Stegostoma tigrinum: one gene and its partners. The protein of the gene in region 3 purifies or fractionates together with the protein of the main gene of each other region. This does not show direct contact. Links are inferred from orthologs where the notes say so. Each region holds a gene or a part of one and is shown on either strand. Other genes may lie near its edges.

Region 1 (6,989 bases), on a different chromosome or scaffold from region 3:
GTCAGTACTGAGGAAGTGCCTCACTGTTGGAGGGTCAGTACTGAGGAAGTGTCTCACTGTCGGAGGGTCAGTACTGAGGAAGTGTCTCACTGTCGGAGGGTCAGTACTGTGGAAGTGTCTCACTGTCAGAGGGTCAGTACTGAGGGAGTGCCTCACTGTTGGAGGGTCAGTTCTGAGGGTGTGTCTCACTGTTGGAGGGTTGGTGCTGAGGGAGTGGGCACTGTCGGAGGGTCAGTGCTGAGGGAGCACCGCACTAGCAGAGAGTCAGCGCTGAGGGAGCGCACAGTTTTGGAGGCTCAGTGCTAAGGGAGTGTCGCATTGTCATAGGGTCAGTGCTGAGGGATCGCCTCACTGACGGAGTGTCAGTACTGAGTGACCGCCGCACTGTCGGAGGGTCAGTGCTGAGGGAGCACCACACTGTCGGAGTGTCAGTGCTGAGGGAGCACCGCACTGTCGGAGGGTCAGTGCTGAGGAAGCGTTGCACTGTTGGAGGGTCAGTGCTGAGGGAGCGCCGCACTGTCGGAGGGTCAGTGCTGAGGGAGTGCTGCACTGTCGGAGGGTCAGTGCTGAGAGAGTGCTGCATTGTCGGAGGGTCAGTACTGAAAGAGTGCCTCACTGCTGGAGGGTCACAGGTGGCCATAAAAGATCATGGCACTTTTGAAACAAGGGCAGAGGCAGCCCCCACAGGCTCTGGTGCCAATGTTTGTCCCTTATCACAGATCCAATGTCAATTTGCTCACTCTTACGCTATTGTCTGTGCATGTTTGCTGTGCGCAAATCAATTGCCTTATATCCTACATTCCAACCTTGACTAGACTTCAAAAGTTCTTTAGTAAAATGCTTTAGGATATTGAGAGGAAGTTAACAACAGTGTCTAACTGCAGTTATCATTTTGATTAATTGTAAATGATAAGTCTGCTACAAAAAATGCAACCGAGTTATTCTGGCTAATTTTAAACTTGCAGACCCTCTCGACCACACGGTCTTTGTTAATGTGTAACAAAGCTTTGCAAACTAACGTGTGTTTATGAATCTTTGTTAATCTGTGATCCTCGTTCTGTCGCTCAGCACCAAAGCTTACCACACTGTGTAATTTGAAAGGAGCAGGAATTTGTTCAGTGAGATGACGTAAACTGGAAGACTACTTCTGTTGAACATGGATTGATACAGACTCACCTGCGGCACAGGCAGTAAAAATGAATAAATCAACATCAACCCTCCCGATGTTGCTCCTGATCATTCAGTGCCAGCTAGCTGTGCTGGCAAGTTTTACAAATTGCTTCAAAGTTCAGATATCTTAAAAGCAAAGAAAGGAAAACCACCAGTTAGAATTATTTTAAACACCAAGTGCATGGTTTCCACAAAAGGCTAGAATTACGGAGCAGTGGGGAGAAGAGGATGCTGGTGAGTATCTAACCACCCTCCCCAGTCACATCAACTCAGTATGCTTCCCATCAGCCAAGCTGCAAATCCCTGCCTGGCTAATCCTGCCAGTCTGACCCCAGTCCCTTCAGTCTGATGTCCTGAACCCCTGTCAGTCTAACCCCAGTCCCATCAGTCTGATGTCCTGAACCCCTGTCAGTCTGACCCCAGTCCCATCAGTCTGATGTCCTGAACCCCTGTCAGTCTAACCCCAGTCCCTTCAGTCTGATGTCCTGAACCCCTGTCAGTCTGACCCCAGTCCCATCAGTCTGATGTCCTGAACCCCTGTCAGTCTAACCCCAGTCCCTTCAGTCTGATGTCCTGAACCCCTGTCAGTCTGACCCCAGTCCCATCAGTCTGATGTCCTGAACCCCTGTCAGTCTAACCCCAGTCCCATCAGTCTGATGTCCTGAACCCCTGTCAGTCTAACCCCAGTCCCATCAGTCTGATGTCCTGAACCCCTGTCAGTCTAACCCCAGTCCCTTCAGTCTGATGTCCTGAACCCCTGTCAGTCTGACCCCAGTCCCATCAGTCTGATGTCCTGAACCCCTGGCAGTCTAACCCCAGTCCCTTCAGTCTGATGTCCTGAAACCCTGTCAGTCTGACCGCAGTCCCATCAGTCTGATGTCCTGAACCGCTGTCAGTCTGACTCCAGTCCCTTCAGTCTGATGTCCTGAACCCCTGTCAGTCTGACTCTAGTCCCTTCAGTCTGATGTCCTGAAACCCTGTCAGACTGACCCCAGTCCCATCAGTCTGATGTCCTGAACCCCCGTCAGTCTGACCCCAGGCCCATCAGTCTGATGTCCTGAACCCCTGTCAGTCTAACCCCAGTCCCATCAGTCTGATGTCCTGAACCCCTGTCATTCTGACTCCAGTCCCATCAGTCTGATGTCCTGAAACCCTGTCAGTCTAACCCCAGTCCCATCAGTCTGATGTCCTGAACCCCTGTCAGTCTGACCCCAGTCCCTTCAGTCTGATGTCCTGAACCCCCGTCAGTCTGACCTCAGTCCCATCAGTCTGATGTCCTGAACCCCTGTCAGTCTGACCCCAGTCCCTTCAGTCTGATGTCCTGAACCCCCGTCAGTCTGACCTCAGTCCCATCAGTCTGATGTCCTGAACCCCTGTCAGTCTGACCCCAGTCCCTTCAGTCTGATGTCCTGAACCCCCGTCAGTCTGACCTCAGTCCCATCAGTCTGATGTCCTGAACCCCTGTCAGTCTGACCCCAGTCCCATCAGTCTGATGTCCTGAACCCCTGTCAGTCTGACCCCAGTCCCTTCAGTCTGATGTCCTGAACCCCCGTCAGTCTGACCCCAGTCCCATCAGTCTGATGTCCTGAACCCCTGTCAGTCTGACCCCAGTCCCTTCAGTCTGATGTCCTGAACCCCTGTCAGTCTGACCCCAGTCCCATCAGTCTGATGTCCTGAACCCGTCAGTCTGACCCCAGTCCCATCAGTCTGATGTCCTGAACCCCTGTCAGTCTGACCCCAGTCCCTTCAGTCTGATGTCCTGAACCCCCGTCAGTCTGACCCCAGTCCCATCAGTCTGATGTCCTGAACCCCTGTCAGTCTGACCCCAGTCCCTTCAGTCTGATGTCCTGAACCCCTGTCAGTCTGACCCCAGTCCCATCAGTCTGATGTCCTGAACCCCTGTCAGTCTGACCCCAGTCCCATCAGTCTGATGTCCTGAACCCTGTCAGTCTGACTCCAGTCCCATCAGTCTGATGTCCTGATCCCTGTCAGTCTGACCCCAGTCCATCTGAACCAGTGTAACTCCCACAAACCGCTAGTTTAATCCCCCCGTCACCCCGAATCCTGGTCAGTCTGGTTGCCCCCTAACCCTGACCTCGGTGTCGGTCTAACACCACGAAGCCCTGACAGACTGATCGCCCCGAGCCTCCGGTCAAACTCACTCGGACACCTCTGCCTCTGTGACCGAGGCGTTGACCCGTCCACCGGCGAAGCCACGCCCAAACCCAGCCCCCTCCAATCACGAATAGGGGGGCGGGTCCGCACTGTCCAATCCTCAACGTCGACACTCCAATGGCCAATCGGGGAGAGAGCAAGGCAGCGTACCAACCAATCACAAAACAACAGCGCATGCATTGGTGCTGGGGGATCCACTCAGCAGAAAGGAACGCCGCAGCCGATGGAGCCCCACTTTGATTGGCGGAGCCCCCACCAATGCGCTCACAGTGCCAACAGATCAGATATTCTACATTTGGATTGGTCCTCACACTGGCCAATGCACTTTCGAAAGCTCTAGGAATTGCTTGGCAACCTTAGATGATAAGTCAATATTAAGTGGAACTGAGACGTTAGCGGCATTTTCTAAGGGAACTAGGGATTGAACTCAATTCGGAGGCACAGATTTAGAAGCAAACGTAAAGTCTTGTGCTGATCCTCTCAATACAGCATGATCTATTCTCTATTATACTGTCATCTGAAGGCTGCTGTCAATATCGAACTACAATTCCCAAGATGCAATCACTGAGCGGCTCAAAGGCTTTGGTTCCGGAGGACGCTGGGAGTTGTAGTCCGGGGGACGCCCCGCGGCCGCACGGGGGTTTCTGGGAGCTGCAGTCCATTTCCGGTACGAGACGGCCGACAAGATGGCGGGGATGGAGCTGCTCTCTGATCAGGGATACCGCGTGGACGGTCGGAAACCCACCGAGCTTCGGAAGATTCAGGCCCGAATGGGGGTGTTCGCTCAAGCCGATGGCTCAGCTTATATCGAGCAGGGGAATACCAAGGCGCTGGCAGTTGTTTACGGTCCGCATGAGGCAAGTACCCAGTGCGCATGTGTTTTGCTGGCGCGCATGTGCAGGCATGGCACGGGGTTAGATACAGAGTAAAGCTCACTCTACACTGTCCCCCATCAAACACTCCCAGGGACAGGGACAGCACGGTGTTAGATACAGAGTAAAGCTTCCTCTACACTATTCCCCATCAAACACTCTCAGGGACAGGGACAGCACAGGGTTAGATACAGAGTAAAGCTCCCTCTACACTGTCCCCATCAAACATTCTCAGGGACAGGGACAGGGACAGCACCGTGTTAGATACAGAGTAAAGCTTCCTCTACACTGTCCCCCATCAAACATTCTCAGGGACAGGGACAGCACGGTGTTAGATACAGAGTACAGCTACCTCTACACTGTCCCCCATCAAACATTCTCAGGGACAGGGACAGCACGGTGATAGATACAGAGTAAAGCTTCTTCTACACTGTCCCCCATCAAACATTCTCAGGACAGGGACTGCACAGGGTTAGATACAGAGTAAAGCTTCCTCTACACTGTCCCCCATCAAACATTCTCAGGACAGGGACTGCACAGGGTTAGATACAGAGTAAAGCTCTCTCTACACTGTCCCCATCAAACATGCCCAGGGACAGCACGGGGTTAGCTGTAGTGTAAAGCTCTCTCTACAATGTTCCTTTTGTTGCTGCCTGTGTCTGTGTTGTAGGTGATAGTGATCACAGTACCCTGTGTTTCAGGTTCGTGGTGCTCGCAGTAAAGCCCTACATGACAAAGCAATGGTGAACTGCCAGTACAGCATGGCGACCTTCAGCACAGGCGAGCGTAAGCGGAGACCCCATGGAGACCGCAAGTCATCAGAGATGACCCTGCACCTGAAACAGACATTCGAAGCTGCCATTTTGACACAGCTTTACCCGCGATCCCAAATTGATATTTACGTGCAGGTATTGTGTTCTGAGCCTTACCCTGGCCTCTAGATCTGATCTTCACTCGCTTGCTTGGCCCTTCTACCTGAGTCAGGTCCTGAACCTGAGTCCCCTCTCCCATCCCAGTTACCCTTTACTTAGTGCAGCTTCTTTTGTTAGGTGCTCTGCCTCACCCCACATGAACAGAAGTTCTTTCCTCTCATAGGAATTTCTGGAACACTGGGACTGAGCACTAGAAATTTCGGAAGGTCATTAAAAGTGATGTCAGGAAGTCCTTCCTCACATTAATGAGAGTGGAAATCTGGAACTGTCTCACTGAAAGATGGGAATGCAGTGGGTAAATTTGAATTTTGAAAGTATGGTAGAGAAACATGAGATGTCGGAGTTGAAGCTGTTGGAGCCTTCTCTGCCATTCACTGAGATCACTGGCTGATCTGATCCTCAACTCCACTCTCCTGCCTTTTCCCCTCAACAGCCTCCTGTGGCAAAGGATTCCACAGATCCACTCCTGTAGGAGGAGAAATTCCTCTTCATCTGTCTTCAATAGGTAATTCTGTGTTCTGAAATAATGTCCTCTGGTCATAGACTTTCACATAAGTGGGGAATGTTCGCACCTCCCAGTAATGAACCATTTCAAATCCTCCTCCCATTCCTCAGACGACATGTCCATCCTGCAGTTCCACAACGATTCTACCTGAAGGTTGCAGGAACAGCATCTCATATTCCGCTTGGGAGCCCTGCAACCCAATGGTATCAATGTGGACTTCACAAGCTTCAAAATCTCCCCTCCACCTGCCGCATCCCAAAACCAGACTAGCTCGTCGCCACCTCGCTAACCTGTCCTTCCTCTCACCTTTCCCCACCTCCCACCTCAAGCCCTACCCCCGTTTCCTACCGACTAACCTCATCCCGCCCCCTTGACCTGTTAGTCCTCCCTGGACTGACATATCCCCTCCCTATCTCTCCACCTACACTCACCCTTACTGGCTACATCCCCACCTCTTTGACCTGTCTGTCTCCTCTCCACATATCTTCTCCTCTATCCATCTTCTATCTGCCTCCCGTCTCTCCATATTTATTTCTGAAACCCCTTTCCCCTCCCCCATTTCTGAAGAAGGGTCTAGGCCCGAAATGTCAGCTTTCCTGCTCCTCTGATGCTGCTCAGCCTGCTGTGTTCATCCAGCCCTACACCTTGTTATCTCTAATATCCTTGCATCTACCCAGTCAAGCACCCTAAGAATCTTGCATTTCAATAAGGTCACCTCTCATTCTTTTATATTCTAATAAGTACAGATGCAATAAACTCAACTTCTTGATTAGACAGTCCCGATATGCCTGGTATCAGCCAAATGAACCTTCTCTGGACTGCCTGCAATGCCAGTTATTCTGTCCTTTGATAAAAGGGCCCAGAACTGTTCACAATATTCCAGCTGTAGTCTGACTAGTGCCTTGTACAGTTTCAGTAAAACCTCTCTACTTTTATATTCCACTCTGTTTGAAATAAGAACCTGCCCCTCTCAAAGCCATGCTGACTCCCTTTAATCATGCTATGCTTTTCCAGAGAGTCATAAATCCTATCCCTCAGAATTCTTTCCAAAACCTTGCTGACCACAGACGTAAGACTGACTGGTCTGTAATTTCCAGGGATTTCCCTATTCCCTCTCTTGAAAAGAGGAACAACATTTGCCTCCCTCCAATCTTCCGGTACGACTCCCACGGAGAGTGAGGAAGCAAAGATCTTCGCCAGCGTCTTAGCAACCTCCTTTCTCGCTTCCTGGAGCAACCTAGAATAAATGTTTTTGGAAATATGGACTTAATGAACTCTTCTGCACTGTGATTCTAAGAATCTGATAAGCAGTCTTCACTGTCACCTTTAGCTTTA
Region 2 (7,628 bases), on a different chromosome or scaffold from region 3:
CAAACCTTAATACAACTACTGGTTATGAAATGGAATCAAACCATTTCTATAAAATTTACTCATTGTTCGATGACCAAATGCACAGACAGTAAGTGTTAAGGACATGCCTGGTTTGAAGTGGTTTGACACATATCAACTTGTTCACTCTTTCCACAGCTCCAGCAACTGACGCAATTAGCTTCTCATCTTCCATATAGGTACCATGGCCTCTGGAACAGACATAATATATACTGTATTAGGATACACAAAAGTTACCCACTCAAGGCAGGCTAATGGAAACCTACAACTCTTCAAAGAGAGAGTTCGGTGCTGAATGTGAACTTTTGTCTATTTCTCTCACCACTGTATCTTTTGAATAGAATAAATCAATCTCAGATTTAGAGCTATTAGCTGGCCAACCTTCTGCTGTATTTATGTTTCCTAATTTCCAAGGCCTTGGTCTTAATTTTGAAGATCATGTCCACTTAGGAAGTCTTCACCCTATCCCAATGAACCTGTTTCATAAGCTTTATTGGCCACAGTTTCCAATACATCTGTCACTTGCCATGTGGCGAATTGATGCTCTCAGTATTATGTTACACTAAAAAGATGGAGTTGTGGCAATACAGTTGGGATGCAAAGTGAAGGACTTGGTTTTATTCATTGGTTGTTTTCACAAAAAAAAACTGATGTACTTCAGCAACTGAGTGTTGCATGGGGTCAATAAGAACTAAAATGTGCAATGCTGGCAAACGGGCAGTGCATAAAAATTCACCTTAATAGATTTGTTGAAACAAGCAGGATTACTTGAAAAGGAAGGTTACAGGAGGCTGGCCTTGAGCCAAGTCTCCAAACACTGCATTCAAAACTGGCAGGTAGAGTGCAAGTAAGAATCAGAGCACAAACACCATAAAGACATGTGGTGGCTATTTTCCTCCCCATATCTCCTAATATAGCAATTCTAAAGGGAAAGAAAATCTTTATTTCAAAGATAAACTTGAGCACACTATCAAAAATCAACATATGTTAAAAGCATGTCACCAGCATTACGAGATTGCGCATACTTGCGAAACAGCCCAATTGGAAATTCCCTTTTGAAGTTGTCGTACGGCTGTGGCAGCAGATTTACCAGCCTCGATTGCTGATGGTTCAAAACACCCCAACCTAAAGTTTCCTAGAATCACCACAGGATGGAAAGAAGCCATTTGCCCCATAGAATCCACACTGACCCTCTGAACAGCATTCCCACTGCCCTCCCCATCCTATCCTGTAATGTTGTATGAATCATGGCTGATCCACGTAGTCTGCACATCCACGGACACCGTGGGGTAATTTAGTCAATCCACCGAACTTGTACAGTTTTGGACTGTGGGACGAAACTGGAGCACCCAACAGAAAGCCACAGAGCAAAACATGCAAACTCCAGAGAGAGTCACCCAAGGCTAAAATTGAACCCGAATCCCTGTCATCAAGAGACAGAAGTGTTGGCTGCTGTGCCAATTATTTTATTAATAAATGCATTTATTTTGTGTTCCAGTTAGTGATGAAACAGTCACAGATTTGAAGAATGAAAGCAGAAAGCCATATGCACGACACCAGTCTAAGTCATCTTTATGCCTTCTTTCTAAAGTCTGTCTGTTAATGTATACAAGGCACTTGTTAGATCTCAGCTCGAGTATTGTGAACAGTTCTGGCTGCCACATGTAGGAAAAGATGTGAACACATTGGAGAGAACGTATAAGTGGCTTGCAAGAATGCTTCCGACGATGAGGAATATCAGTAAATGAGCACAGACTGGTGAAGCTATAACTGTTTTAGAGAGAGAGAAGGCAGCTAAAATGCAATCTGATAGAGATTTTGAAATCAAGAACAAGCTTAAGAGGGTAAAATAGGGAGAAACTGTTTCTGCTTTTGAAAGGAACAAGAAGAGGAGAGCATCAATTTAAAGTAACCTGCAAATGAAACAAGAAGGAAGTCAAGAAAAAAAAAAATTCAGTGAGCATACTCAGGACAGGGAACATAGAGACTGGAAATGTGGAGAATGGTTCAGCTGATGCACTTAAGACAACATTGAATAATTATTTAGATAAAATAACATGCAAGATTGGGAAAAAGCAGGAGACTGGCACTGGATGACATTGCTTTAGCAACCACTGCAAATGTTGGAAATCTGAAATAAAAACTGGTGAAACCTGGCAGAGGGTTATACAGGTTACACTGAGTCCAATACGATTCACCTTCTGTTTTGTCTTTTCTAATACTTGTTTGGAAGCTTCCAGTACTATCATTCCCTTTTGTATATTCAGCGGAGAGTCTTATTTTAAGACACAGACGAGGCAGATGTGGTAAATAAGAATGAGGCAGCTATTGGAAATCTGGAACAAACGCAAAATGCTGGAGAAACTCAGCAGGTCTCACAGCATCTGCTGAGAGAGAAAACAGAATTAATATTTTATGTTCTGAACGAATGGTCATATCTCCAGAGATGCTGACAGGCCTGCTGGGTTTCTCAAAGATCATTTCGATGCAGGCTATCGAGTTTGCACTGATGGCGACCATCTAGTATTTATGGAGATGTGACTTTGAACGAGTTTCAGTCACTGACCGTTGATAAAAAGATTTAAATTTATAGGCCGAATGCGCACCGTCTACCCACGTGGATTTCCTTGCCTCTGGAGTTAACGTCCTGATTTAAAATATAAAAGTTCTCCCATTTTTGTGTTAGTTTTACCTCATGAAACCGGTGTCGGTGGTGATGGTGTCTCCCGGTGATACCAGATGTTTACCGACCTCAGCCGGTAAAGAGACACGCTTTCGCGCCGTCGGTAACCGAATGTCCACCGCCATCTTTGTTACTGGCGTACAGCCTGCGGCGGCCACCTATAACCACTGCCGCCATCTTTGATATGGCGAACGGGCATCAGCTGCCAAATATCATTGCAGCCGCCATCTTCAATATTGGCAAATAGCCTTCCGTGGTTATGACCACATCGATATCTTTCACGTCGGCGAATCCTACGTTACTGAATACCTGATGCTGAAAGTCGGATATAAACAAAAAAAGAAACATGAAAAGATACACAGAATTAACATTTCACTTCCATGTGTTCGTCAAACCTCTCAAATATTTCTCGCATTGTTTGCAAAATCCAGCTTTTACCACATTTACTGAACTCAATCACTGTAGAGCTGCTGCAAGCCCCGATTAACAGAATCCTTTAAATTTTTATTTCAGTCTTCCATCATCCGCAGTTTTGAGCTGTTAACTGCCATCTTTAACACTGGCAAGACACGCCAGCTCTACTTCCGCCATTTTTAACACAGGCATTCGACAAGTCTTTGGGGATTGGGGGGGGTGGTGATTGATTATCGCCATGTTTCTTACTGGCAGACTGAAACTGTCACCATCTTTGTTATTGGCAGATGTTTGGCTCCTTTCTCCTTGCCTCCATGTTTGTTTCCGGGCTGTCTCTGCACCGTTATATCGTCCTAATAACGAATCGACCCGCGCTTTTCTATGATGTTGTGTGGTGAATCAATTAGCTCTTCAACGTAACAAATCAGATAGTTACCATATTGTTGCCAGTATTTTTACGCGTTTTACAAGGTTCTGGTTAACTCGATGTCCGTCTCTGGAAATGGTGGGTGCCGCCATTTTGAGTCCAAAGTTAAACCCAAAACAAATTTTAAACACTGTCAAACTTAAACTATAACTAAATAATATGAAAGCACACGTAGTGATTTACTAGTTCTGGATCTATTGTTGGTCAATCTTATTTCGTAGAATCCCAACAACGCTGAAAGAGGCCATTCGGCCCATCGCACGAACTATGACCCTATGAATCTGCAACGACCCGCAGAGCAGCCCACCCTATCCTTGTTCGCCCCACGTTAAACATGGCCAGTCCACCTAAAGCTGCAAATCTTTGATCTGTAGGAACAACCTGGAGCATCTGACACAAACTCCACACACGAGCCACCCAAAGGGCTGGAATTGAACTTGGGTCCCTGGCACTTGTGAAGTAATAATGCTAACTGTTGAGCCACCATGCTGTCCCAAACCATACTTCTAGTAAGGCTGAATATTATTTCACTAATACTTGCACAGGTCTAAACAAACAATATGGCTTCTTAAAAACATGTTTCTCAAATTTTGAAATACATATGCCTCTACTTTTATCAATAGCTGGCAAAAGTAAAGGTGACATGGGAAGGGACACCTGGAATGCACTGCTTAGGAGGTGATGACTTGTCAATACAAGAGGAAACCATGGGCAACACAGAAGGGGTAGGATAGTGGTTTTCGTTGGTTGCCCTCACTATCACCATTTGGCTAGATTACTGCCTGCTTAGGCACCAGTTCATGGTAATACTGGACAAGTCAAATTCCAGAGTAACATCTGTCTTGATAGACCATGTCGCATTTTCAAAAAAAATTCCAGATGCTGGATAACAGAAACACAAACAGAAATTGCTGGAGAAACTCACCGGGTCTGGCAGTGACTGGATCCAAAACGTTAATTCACCAACCCAAGGAAGCCTAACCAGATAAATAGAAAGCGGGACATAACACCAGCGCTTCATCAGAGGCTCACTGATGATGTTACCTAGAATAGTGACGAAACGTCTGAAAAACTAACCTTCCAGCTCAGCGAGCAAACTCACATCCAGAACCTCAACCTGAGCTACAAATCTTCTCAAAATGTTAACTCTGCTTCCTGCCCAAAGATGCTGCAACCTATACTCACCTCTACAGGCTCCATCCCCACCCCTTTAATTTGTCTGCCTCCTCTCCACCTATCTTCACCTCTATCCACCTTCGGTCCACCTCCCCCTCTCTCCCTATTTATCTCAGAACCCTCTCCCCATTCCCCTTTTCTGATGAAGGGTCGAGGTCAGCTTTTGTGCTCCTGAAATGCTGCTTGGCCTGCTGTGTTCATCCAGCTCAACACTTTGCTGCAAGACTTGCTGAATTTCTCTAGCAATTTCTGTTTGCATTTCTTATTTTCACAATTCTGTTACTATGGTGGTCAGTCACCAGTGGTTGCCATTGTATCTTTGATAAAAAGAATTTAAGTTTATTACACAAAGAATAGAGGAAAAGACTAAGATGACAATTTGAAAAACATCCAAAAAGCTTCTCTTTTCCAGCAATATCCTTTATTGATACTCAATCCTAATATTACAAAATACCTTTCGTAATTGATTTCTGACACAATTAACAAGGCTACAATGATTTACTGTTGACAAATGTATGTATATTTTGTATGTAAGATTACAATTATTTCCGTTATTCTATCTCCCTGACACAGTATTGTTACTAGTTAGCTCAGACAAACATTTAAGAGGATTAATGTTTGGCCAAAAAAACACAAATGGCATAGGTGGAGGCTATTCAGCCCATCGTGTCTATGCAAGCTCGAGTGCATATTATTACCTAATGTCAATCTTCTGCTCTTTTGCCTATTCTTGCAAGTTATTCCTAACCAAATAATCATCCAATGGTCTCTTGAATGTCTCAACTGAATCTGCTTCCATCATACTTTCAGGCATTACATTGCTTCCAATGTTACGGACAGTATGGCCCATTTATACATATGAACTAGGAACAGGAGAAGATCATTTAGGCCCTCAGCCTGAATGGCCTATGACAACTCATAATTTGTATTTTTATGTAAATATAAATGGGAATATTATCTGTGCTAGCAAACGATTATCTATTCAAAAGCCCTTTTTCCATACATCTGTATATATTTTAAAATGTTAATTTATATAGCACAATCTCAGGATGCCCCAAGTGTCTTCTAAACCATGTAGTTAGTGACTGAGTTAAGGATACATAGTGTATTAAGTGTTACATCCCACTTGGGACAGTGTGCTGATGCTTGAGCCTCTCTATTCCTTAGGGCATCATGAAAAGATTTAATCAAAGTCTGTACAGTTCCCAACTTACCTGACTGACAGATTCAAGCCAACAGAAAACAGTCGCCAGACCCCCAAAAAAATTGATGTTAAACACAGAGGAAAGATCCGACAGACAAGCAGAGTTCAAAAAGCACGAGTTCACAAGACTCAGTAAGGTGAACCTTTTTCTTCCAGATACCGTCTACTGCCTGGTCTTTTTTCAGTTTCTTTCACTTTGTGGCAGGAGGCACAGGCAATTGATACAGTCTTTGTATTATTGGTTAAAAGCAACAAATCATTGCAACTTTTGGAAGAAAATAACTAGAATGATTTTACTGCAGAGATATGAAGACAGAGCCTTCTGACCTTGTCCACTACACACATGGCAACTGTTCAGTTGCCCAGGATCCAATCACAGAGCATTGTTAAACTGGTGACCTCAACTGGTCTGAATAAATAATCTGTTGCTAGCTAAACTTGCTTTGCAAACAAACCCTGATAGTGTGTGGAGAGGAATCTCTTCTTCTCCACTGTTTGCAAAGCAACAATGTAAAGGCAATAAAATGTGAGGCTGGATGAACACAGCAGGCCAAGCAGCATCTCAGGAGCACAAAAGCTGACGTTTCGGGCCTAGACCCTTCATCAGAGAGGGGGATGGGGAGAGGGAACTGGAATAAATAGGGAGAGAGGGGGAGGCGGACCGAAGATGGAGAGTAAAGAAGATAGGTGGAGAGAGTGTAGGTGGGGAGGTAGGGAGGGGATAGGTCAGTCCAGGGAAGACGGACAGGTCAAGGAGGTGGGATGAGGTTAGTAGGTAGGAGATGGAGGTGCGGCTTGGGGTGGGAGGAAGGGATGGGTGAGAGGAAGAACAGGTTAGGGAGGCAGAGACAGGTTGGACTGGTTTTGGGATGCAGTGGGTGGGGGGGGAAGAGCTGGGCTGGTTGTGTGGTGCAGTGGGGGGAGGGGATGAACTGGGCTGGTTTAGGGATGCAGTAGGGGAAGGGGAGATTTTGAAACTGGTGAAGTCCACATTGATACCATATGGCTGCAGCGTTCCCAGGCGGAATAGGAGTTGCTGTTCCTGCAACCTTCGGTTGGCATCATTGTGGCACTGCAGGAGGCCCATGATGGACATGTCATCTAGAGAATGGGAGGGGGAGTGGAAATGGTTTGCGACTGGGAGGTGCAGTTGTTTGTTGCGAACTGAGCGGAGGTGTTCTACAAAGCGGTCCCCAAGCCTCCGCTTGGTTTCCCCAATGTAGAGGAAGCCGCACCGGGTACAGTGGATGCAGTATACCACATTGGCAGATGTGCAGGTGAACCTCTGCTTAATGTGGAATGTCATCTTGGGGCCTGGGATGGGGGTGAGGGAGGAGGTGTGGGGACAGGTGTAGCATTTCCTGCGGTTGCAGAGGAAGGTGCCGGGTGTGGTGGGGTTGGAAGGCAGTGTGGACCGAACAAGGGAGTCACAGAGAGAGTGGTCTCTCCGGAAAGCTGACAGGGGAGGGGATGGAAAAATGTCTTGGGTGGTGGGGTCGGATTGTAAATGGCGGAAGTGTCGGAGGATAATGCGTTGTATCCGGAGGTTGGTAGGGTGGTGTGTGAGAACGAGGGGGATCCTCTTGGGGCGGTTGTGGCGGGGGCGGGGTGTGAGGGATTTGTTGCGGGAAATACGGGAGACGCGGTCAAGGGCGTTCTCGATCACTGTGGGGGGAAAGTTGCGGTCCTTAAAGAACTTGGACATC
Region 3 (7,164 bases):
TGGCAAATTTACCTTCTTTGGCCATGCACTGAGTACAGCATTCGTGTACATCATGGTGCAGCTGTACAGGATATTGGTGAGGCCACTTTCAGAATATTGCATTCAATTCTGGTCTTCCTGTTATAGGAAAGATGTTGTTAAATTTGATAAGGTTCAAAAAAGATTTGTAAGGATGTTGCTGGGATTGGAGGGTTGGAGCTATAAGGTGAAGCTGAATAGGCTGGAGTATTTTCCTCTGTACCGCTGGAGGCTGAGAAGTGACTTTATAGAGGTTTATAAAATCATGAGGGGCATGGATAGGGTGAAAGGCCAAGGTCTTTTTCCCAGGGTAAGGGAGTCCAAAATTGAGGACATAGGTTTAAAGTGAGAGAGGAAAGATGCAAAAGGGATCCAAGGGGCAACTTTTTCACTCATAGGGTGGTGCGTGTATGAAATGTGCTGCCAGAGGAGGTGGGTGAGTTGAGTACAATAACAACATTTACAAGGCATATGGATGGGTACATGAATTGCAAGTGTTTAGAGGGATATGGGCCAAATGTTAGCAAATGGAATTAGATCAGTTTAGGATATCTGGTTGGCACAGACAAGTTGATCCAAGGTATCTGTTTCTGTGCTGTATAACTCTATAGCTCCATAAATTTAAAGCACTGCAAAACAGTAGTCATGCACCTAGGATCCTTCCACGAGCTTATCAATAAAGAAATATTGTACAGGAATTCTCCAGAGTTTCCCCTCCGATCACAGCATTTATTGGTCTACTGCAGTTTATGGAGGAGAGTTTGTGATTTGCCAGATGATATAACAACATCAACATACTTAACCACATATGAGAACAAGAAAACAGCATCTATATAATTCTGTACAAAGGTAGAATGCCTTCAAGTAATAGTTAGTTAGTTTTCATTATAATTACCGGGAGGTTTGAGGTCACTCCAACTATAAACCTCAGGACATAAATATCAGAGATAGTAGGAACTGCAGATGCTGGAGAATCTGAGACAACAAGGTGTAGAGCTGGATGAACACAGCAAGCCAAGCAGCATCATAGGAGCTCTGCTGCTCCTATGATGCTGCTTGGCCTGCTGTGTTCATCCAGCTCGATACCTTGGACCTAAATATCAGCTGTTTCCTTTATCATTTTGTGAACTTCTTTCACCCTTGAAAACCTGCTGCTTTTAGTTCACTGGGAACTTGTCACATTCTGACCTGTTTGCTGGTGTTGCCTTCACCTTCAAATTGCATTTGGAAGTGGAAGAACACAATGTTGATCTTTCTACAGTTAGTCAACAAATGCACCATGTTTGTCACAGGCCATATCAGCCCTCAGTCAGTTGGCCATTGACAACAGACATGCTGATTTTACACCAAATATGTATTGTTGCAAACTGCTGTTATTCACTGCAAGTAATTTTAAAAATCAAGATAAAAATCAAATATTACAGAAACCAAAAGAACTGCAGACACTGTAAGTCAGAAACAGAAGCTCTGGCCTTTTCTTTGCAGATGCTGCCAGACCTGCTGAGCTTTTCCTGCAACTTCTGTTTTTGATCAAATATTATGAGTTACAAATCACAGGCCATAGTTAAATAATCATAGTGCTCAAGCTTTAACTGTTTGATTCAGTAACTGACCAGTGCTTTGCGTGATCTTTAAATCCATCAAATATTAAAGATAGATAGCCATCACAAACCTGCGTCCCTTCTGGTGTTGGACAGCCTGACAAGCTGTCTGCATGAAGACAATGCCTCTCAATTCTGGAAACTCAAGTATCTCCAAATAATCCTGCACCACTTTCCAGTCAGGTATCACATAATGAGTTGCACTTTCTGACAACAATTTCCCTTCTGAAACATTAAGTTAACGCAGAATTAAGCAAGTAGCATAAAAGACAGTACGTTAGTTGCAAAAGTAACACTGATATTCAGGTGAGATATTTAGTTACTATTTCAATGTTCATATGAAAATAAAAGATCCCATGGCACTATTAGAAGAAACAAGGAGCTCTCTCAATATCCTGGGCAGTATTTTCCCTCAACTAACCTCAGTTGCAGATTGTCCAATTACATCTGAGAGATATTTCTAAGTGAGAATTTACTTGCATACTCACTGTACTTCAAACTTAATTCAATTGTATATATCTTTGGGATGTTCACAGGAAATGAAAGATATATAAAATTCCTTCTATATTAGGAGTTCAGTTCTATCCTCATCCTGAATATTTTTGAGTATTATTTTATTCAATTTTTACAATGTCAACTGTGGTTCAATAGGTAGCATTATCTCACCTCTGAGTCAGGAGGTTGTATGTTCAAGTCCCACATCAGAAGCTCGACTACTCAATCCAGGCCGACACTCCCAGTACAGTACTTGAGAAAGTGCTGCACTGTCAGAGGTGTCATCTTTCAGGTGGATATAAAAGATCCCACAAGCTCTACTTCACAGAACAGCAGGGAAGTTCTCCCTGCCATCGTGGCCAATATCTATGTTCAATCAACATCGGGAAGAGATTTTCTGGACAGGAACTGCTGTTTTGGGATCTTGTTGAGTGCAAATTGGCTGCTGTGTTTCCTACATCAGTGGCCACATTTCTAAGTACTTCATTGGTTATAAAACACTTTGAAACCGCCAGAAAAATGTGATATAAATGCAATATTTTCTTTTCTCCATGAGTTTTAATATCGTTGAGAGTTCTGCTTTGTAGATGACTGTACCCGCTCGGCCATACTTTACCATTGTAGCACTCAGCCTGGCACAGGGAACTGTTACAGGGAACCGACTGCCTGAGGTAATGCTCCCTCACAACTCGAACTGATTTCCCTTTGCAGCTCCTCAGGTGCAGCACCTTCTCCGTTTTTATCATTACACTGTTGTAAACAAGCGGAGGAGCCATTAAGCGATTACTTTTCTTCTCGAACTCAATTCTCCGACAAGCCCCAGGAAGACCACGCTCCGCGGATGTAAACAACTCGAACAAACACCTCCTGCCTTCCTAGCGCCCATTTTCCGCCCGCCTCAACCTGACAGCTTCCCCCGCGTGTGAACCGGAAATGTAATTCGGTGCTGCGGGGCAAAGGGTTGCACTGCGGGGCAAAGTGATGGACTAGGAGCGCATGCGCAAACTGAACTGCTCCTTGCAATCTGAATGTGTTACACATTTCCAAATAAAAGGTAACAAGATGTAGAGCAGGATGAACACAGCAGGCCAAGCTGCATCAGAGGAGCAGGAAGGCTGACGTTTCTGAAAAGAGGTCTAGGCCCGAAACGTCAGCTTTCCTGCTTCTCTGATGCTGCTTGGCGCTGTGCTCATCCAGTTCTACACCTTGTTATTTCAGATTCTCCAGCATCTGCAGTTCCTGCTATCTCCACGTAAAGGTAACCTACTGTTTGTGTGCTTGACTGTTAACATGAAACAAATCACCCCACTTTAACGAATTTCAGATCTGTCTGTTTCTTTTTGATTATATTACTCCCTTTTTAGAGAAAGTACTTTCCTACATTAGCAACTCTGCTCAGAATTGGGTCTCACTGAATATCGGGGAGTTTCTCGACTTTGTAGCAAACTGATCTCTTGATCGCAATACATAGCCTTGAAGATGTCGAAGATTCTCACACGGTATTCAATGTTACTGCAGGAAGATGCCACTCGGAGATTTGCAGTAAAAAATGTCGAATAAACTGGTTGAAAATCCATGAATCATTCTAGAGATAACATTAGATCTAAATAAAAGTGGAATGTATAAACAAAAGAGGTAATATCATTAGGATACTTTATGCTCCTAGTACGAGTCTTAAATAATTATGTGACTGAGGGAGTTCTGTGCATATGTGCTTACATGAATCTCCAGACCTCCATTCTCGGTGATTACGGTTTCTTAGAAGGGAAAAAATTGCGTTCCTCTCATGTAATAATGATTATAATTTCTTTTTCAAATTTGGACTGGAACTTTCTAGATGCTATTAATTTAAATACAATGGCTGTCCAAAGAGACTTGGGGTGCATAGAGTCATACAACACGAAAAAAACCCTTTAGTCCGCCCCCTGCCTGGGTTTCCGAAACTGAAACAGTTCCATTTACCCGAGCTTAAAACGCAATGAACACGTACAGAGAATAATGAAGAAAGCTAACGGCATGCTAACATTTAAAACCAGCGGACTGGAGAATAAGATGGCAGAAGTTATGTTGCTGTTATACTGGTTCGACCCCAGTTGGAATACTGTGAGCAGATCTGCGCACAACACCTGAGGAAGGATATCTTCGCCTTGGAGGGAGTACAACATAGGTATACAAGAATGAAACCTGGACCAGTGGCTACTATATGAGGAAAGATTAGACAAATTAGGCCTTTTTTTCCAGAATTTGGAAGATTAGGAGTGATCCCATTGAAGTCTTCAATATATTAACTAGAAAAGACAGGGTAGGTCAAGATATTGCCCTGGTCAGTGATTCGAGAACCAGAGGACATAGGCTGAGAATTAGGGCCAGACCGTTCAGGGGAGATGGTGGAAAACACTTGCACACACAAAGAATGGTAGAGGTTTGGAACTCTCCTCCATAAACTGCAGTGGATCAATTGTTATTTTTAGATGCATTTTTATTCAGCAAAGATATTAAGGGACAAAGGCCAAAAGGAGTTAAGCTATACAGCAGCCATGATCTCATTGAACAGAACAGCCCGAATGGCCTACTCCTGTTCCTATATTTCCAAGTTCATAACAGACACAAGCTGAACTGCCTTAAGTGTAAATCATGGCATGAAATGCTACTCTTGGGTGGTTTCAGTTACTTTCGATATTCAGGTCAAGTTTGATTCCCAAATCATGTCGCTACGCTTACCTCATACAACACCTTAAACATCTTCACATCAGTACCAGTCTTACATCAAAAGCTGTGATCAGAGATAATGGGGACTGCAGGTGCTGGAGAAACCAGGACAACAAAGTGTGGAGCTGGATGAACACAGCAGGTCAAGCAGCATCTCAGGAGCACAAAAGCTGACGTTTCAGGCCTAGACTCTTCATCAGAAAAGAGGGATGGGGAGAGGGTTCTGGAATAAATAGGGAGAGAGGGGGAGGTGGACCGAAGATGGAGAGAAATGGAGATAGGTGGAGAGGAGAGAATAGGTAGGGAGGGGATAGGTCAGTCCAGGGAAGACAGACAGGTCAAGGAGGTGGGATGAGGTTAGTAGGTAGGAAATGGAGGTGTGGCTTGAGGTGGGAGGAAGGGATAGGTGAGAGGAAGAACAGGTTAGGGAGGTGGGGATAAGCTGGGCTGGTTTTGGGATGCAGTGGGCAGAGGGGACGAGCTGGGCTGGTTTTGGGATGCAGTGGGGGAAGGGGAGATTTTGAAGCTTGTGAAGTCCACATTGATACCATTGGGCTGCAGGGTTCCCAAGCAGAATATGAGTTGCTGTTCCTGCAACCTTCAGGTGGCATCATTGTGGCACTGCAGGAGGCCCATGATGGACATGCCATCTAAAGAATGGGAGAAGGAGATAAAACGGTTCGTGACTGGGAGGTGCAGTTGTTTATTGTGAACCGAGCTGAGGTGTTCTGCAAAGCGGTCCCCAAGCCTCTGCTTGGTTTAGTCTGCCTTCCGGAGAGACCACCCTCTCTGTGACTCCCTTGTTCGCTCCACACTCCCCTCCAACACCACCACACCCGACACCTTCCCCTGCAACCGCAGGAAGTGCTACACTTGCCCCCACACCTCCTCCCTCACCACCATCCCAGGCCCCAAGATGACTTTCCATATTAAGCAGAGGTTCACCTGCACATCTGCCAATGTGGTATACTGTATCCACTGTTCCCGGTGTGGCTTCCTCTACATTGGGGAAACCAAGTGGAGGCTTGGGGACCGCTTTGCAGAACACCTCCACTCAGTTCGCAATAAACAACTGCACCTCCCAGTCACAAACCATTTTATCTCCTTCTCCCATTCCTTAGACGACATGTCCATCATGAGCCTCCTGCAGTGCCACAATGATGCCACCCGAAGGTTGCAGGAACAGCAACTCATATTCTGCTTGGGAACCCTGCAGCCCAATGGTATCAATGTGGACTTCACCAGCTTCAAAATCTCCCCTTCCCCCACTGCATCCCAAAACCAGCCCAGCTTGTCTCCTCCCCCCACTGCAACCCAAAACCAGCCCAACTTATCCCCACCTCCCTAACCTGTTCTTCCTCTCACCTATCCCTTCCTCCCACCGCAAGCCGCACCTCCATTTCCTACCTACTAACCTCATCCCACTTCCTTGACCTGCCCGTCTTCCCTGGACTGACCTACCCCTTGCCTACCTATTCTCTCCTCTCCACCTATCTCTTTTTCTCTCCATCTTCAGTCCACCTCCCCTTCTGTCCCTATTTATTCCAGAACCCTCTCCCCATCCCCCTTTTCTGATGAAGGGTCTAAGCCCGAAACGTCAGCTTTTGTGCTCCTGAGATGCTGCTTGACCTGCTGGGTTCATCCAACTCCACACTTTGTTGTCTTACATCAAAAGCTTATGGCTCAATCTTACTAGAAAATACAGTAGAAAGCAATGAACTGAAATATTCAAACGTACAAAGATTGGTTTAATTGAAGGCACGGTTTCTTTTTCTTGAATTAAGTAGAGCTTTACTCAGAATTTGGACCATTTCATGATGCTTGATGTAAAATTGACATCAAAGAGAATTGTTTCCCAGCATTAACGACCTGCATCCCTCACATTCTGAAAAACAAAACCTTGGTGTCGTGGAACTGCCAGCACATATCTCCCATCCCAATAAAAATGTGTACGTTGCTTCTAAACTTCTAAAAATCGTCAATCTTTCTTTAAAAATAATTTGTACTAACCCTAAGCTGTCATGGTTCTTTCTCCACATCTTTAATGGAGCAAAACAAAAGGGGCAGATGCGCTAACTATACTTGCAGGTGCAAGAAAACACCACAGCAGTCCGCTCATTCATGTTGTGAAATAACTGGGGCTCCCGAAATGTTGCCCTATGAATGGTTAGTTTTCTTTGTTAGGTAAATTAGCGTCGATTTTGTCTGGCAGATCACATGCAGCAAATCGATCAGCATCTGAGCCAGAAGGAAAGGTTAATTTTCTTGATGATCCTGACCACACAGATAACCTTTCTTTCTCTGTGAAGTGATGATTGATGGACGTGCTGGACACTTTCAG

What was found. Proteins that work in one complex are often made in the same cells at the same time.
Region 1: the proteins of dis3l (region 3) and exosc4 purify together in Homo sapiens (affinity purification with mass spectrometry; 5 studies listed by BioGRID and IntAct, with this or other methods). This does not show direct contact. The link is inferred for Stegostoma tigrinum from reciprocal best matches to the Homo sapiens genes DIS3L and EXOSC4.
Region 2: the proteins of dis3l (region 3) and exosc2 purify together in Homo sapiens (affinity purification with mass spectrometry; 5 studies listed by BioGRID and IntAct, with this or other methods). This does not show direct contact. The link is inferred for Stegostoma tigrinum from reciprocal best matches to the Homo sapiens genes DIS3L and EXOSC2.

What each region holds. Positions count from the first base shown.
Region 1 is NC_081355.1:159,722,727-159,729,715, forward strand, and holds the start of exosc4 (exosome complex component RRP41), read left to right. Parts: upstream 1-3,985; 5' UTR 3,986-4,031; coding exon 4,032-4,202; intron 4,203-4,918; coding exon 4,919-5,125; intron 5,126-6,989. UniProt on the Homo sapiens protein: Non-catalytic component of the RNA exosome complex which has 3'->5' exoribonuclease activity and participates in a multitude of cellular RNA processing and degradation events.
Region 2 is NC_081382.1:41,692,232-41,699,859, forward strand, and holds the start of exosc2 (exosome complex component RRP4), read right to left. Parts: upstream 3,005-7,628; 5' UTR 2,827-3,004; coding exon 2,711-2,826; intron 210-2,710; coding exon 108-209; intron 1-107. UniProt on the Homo sapiens protein: Non-catalytic component of the RNA exosome complex which has 3'->5' exoribonuclease activity and participates in a multitude of cellular RNA processing and degradation events.
Region 3 is NC_081386.1:34,950,586-34,957,749, forward strand, and holds the start of dis3l (DIS3-like exonuclease 1), read right to left. Parts: upstream 3,021-7,164; 5' UTR 2,891-3,020; coding exon 2,731-2,890; exon of another isoform or gene 2,286-2,730; intron 1,845-2,285; coding exon 1,691-1,844; intron 1-1,690. UniProt on the Homo sapiens protein: Catalytic component of the RNA exosome complex which has 3'->5' exoribonuclease activity and participates in a multitude of cellular RNA processing and degradation events.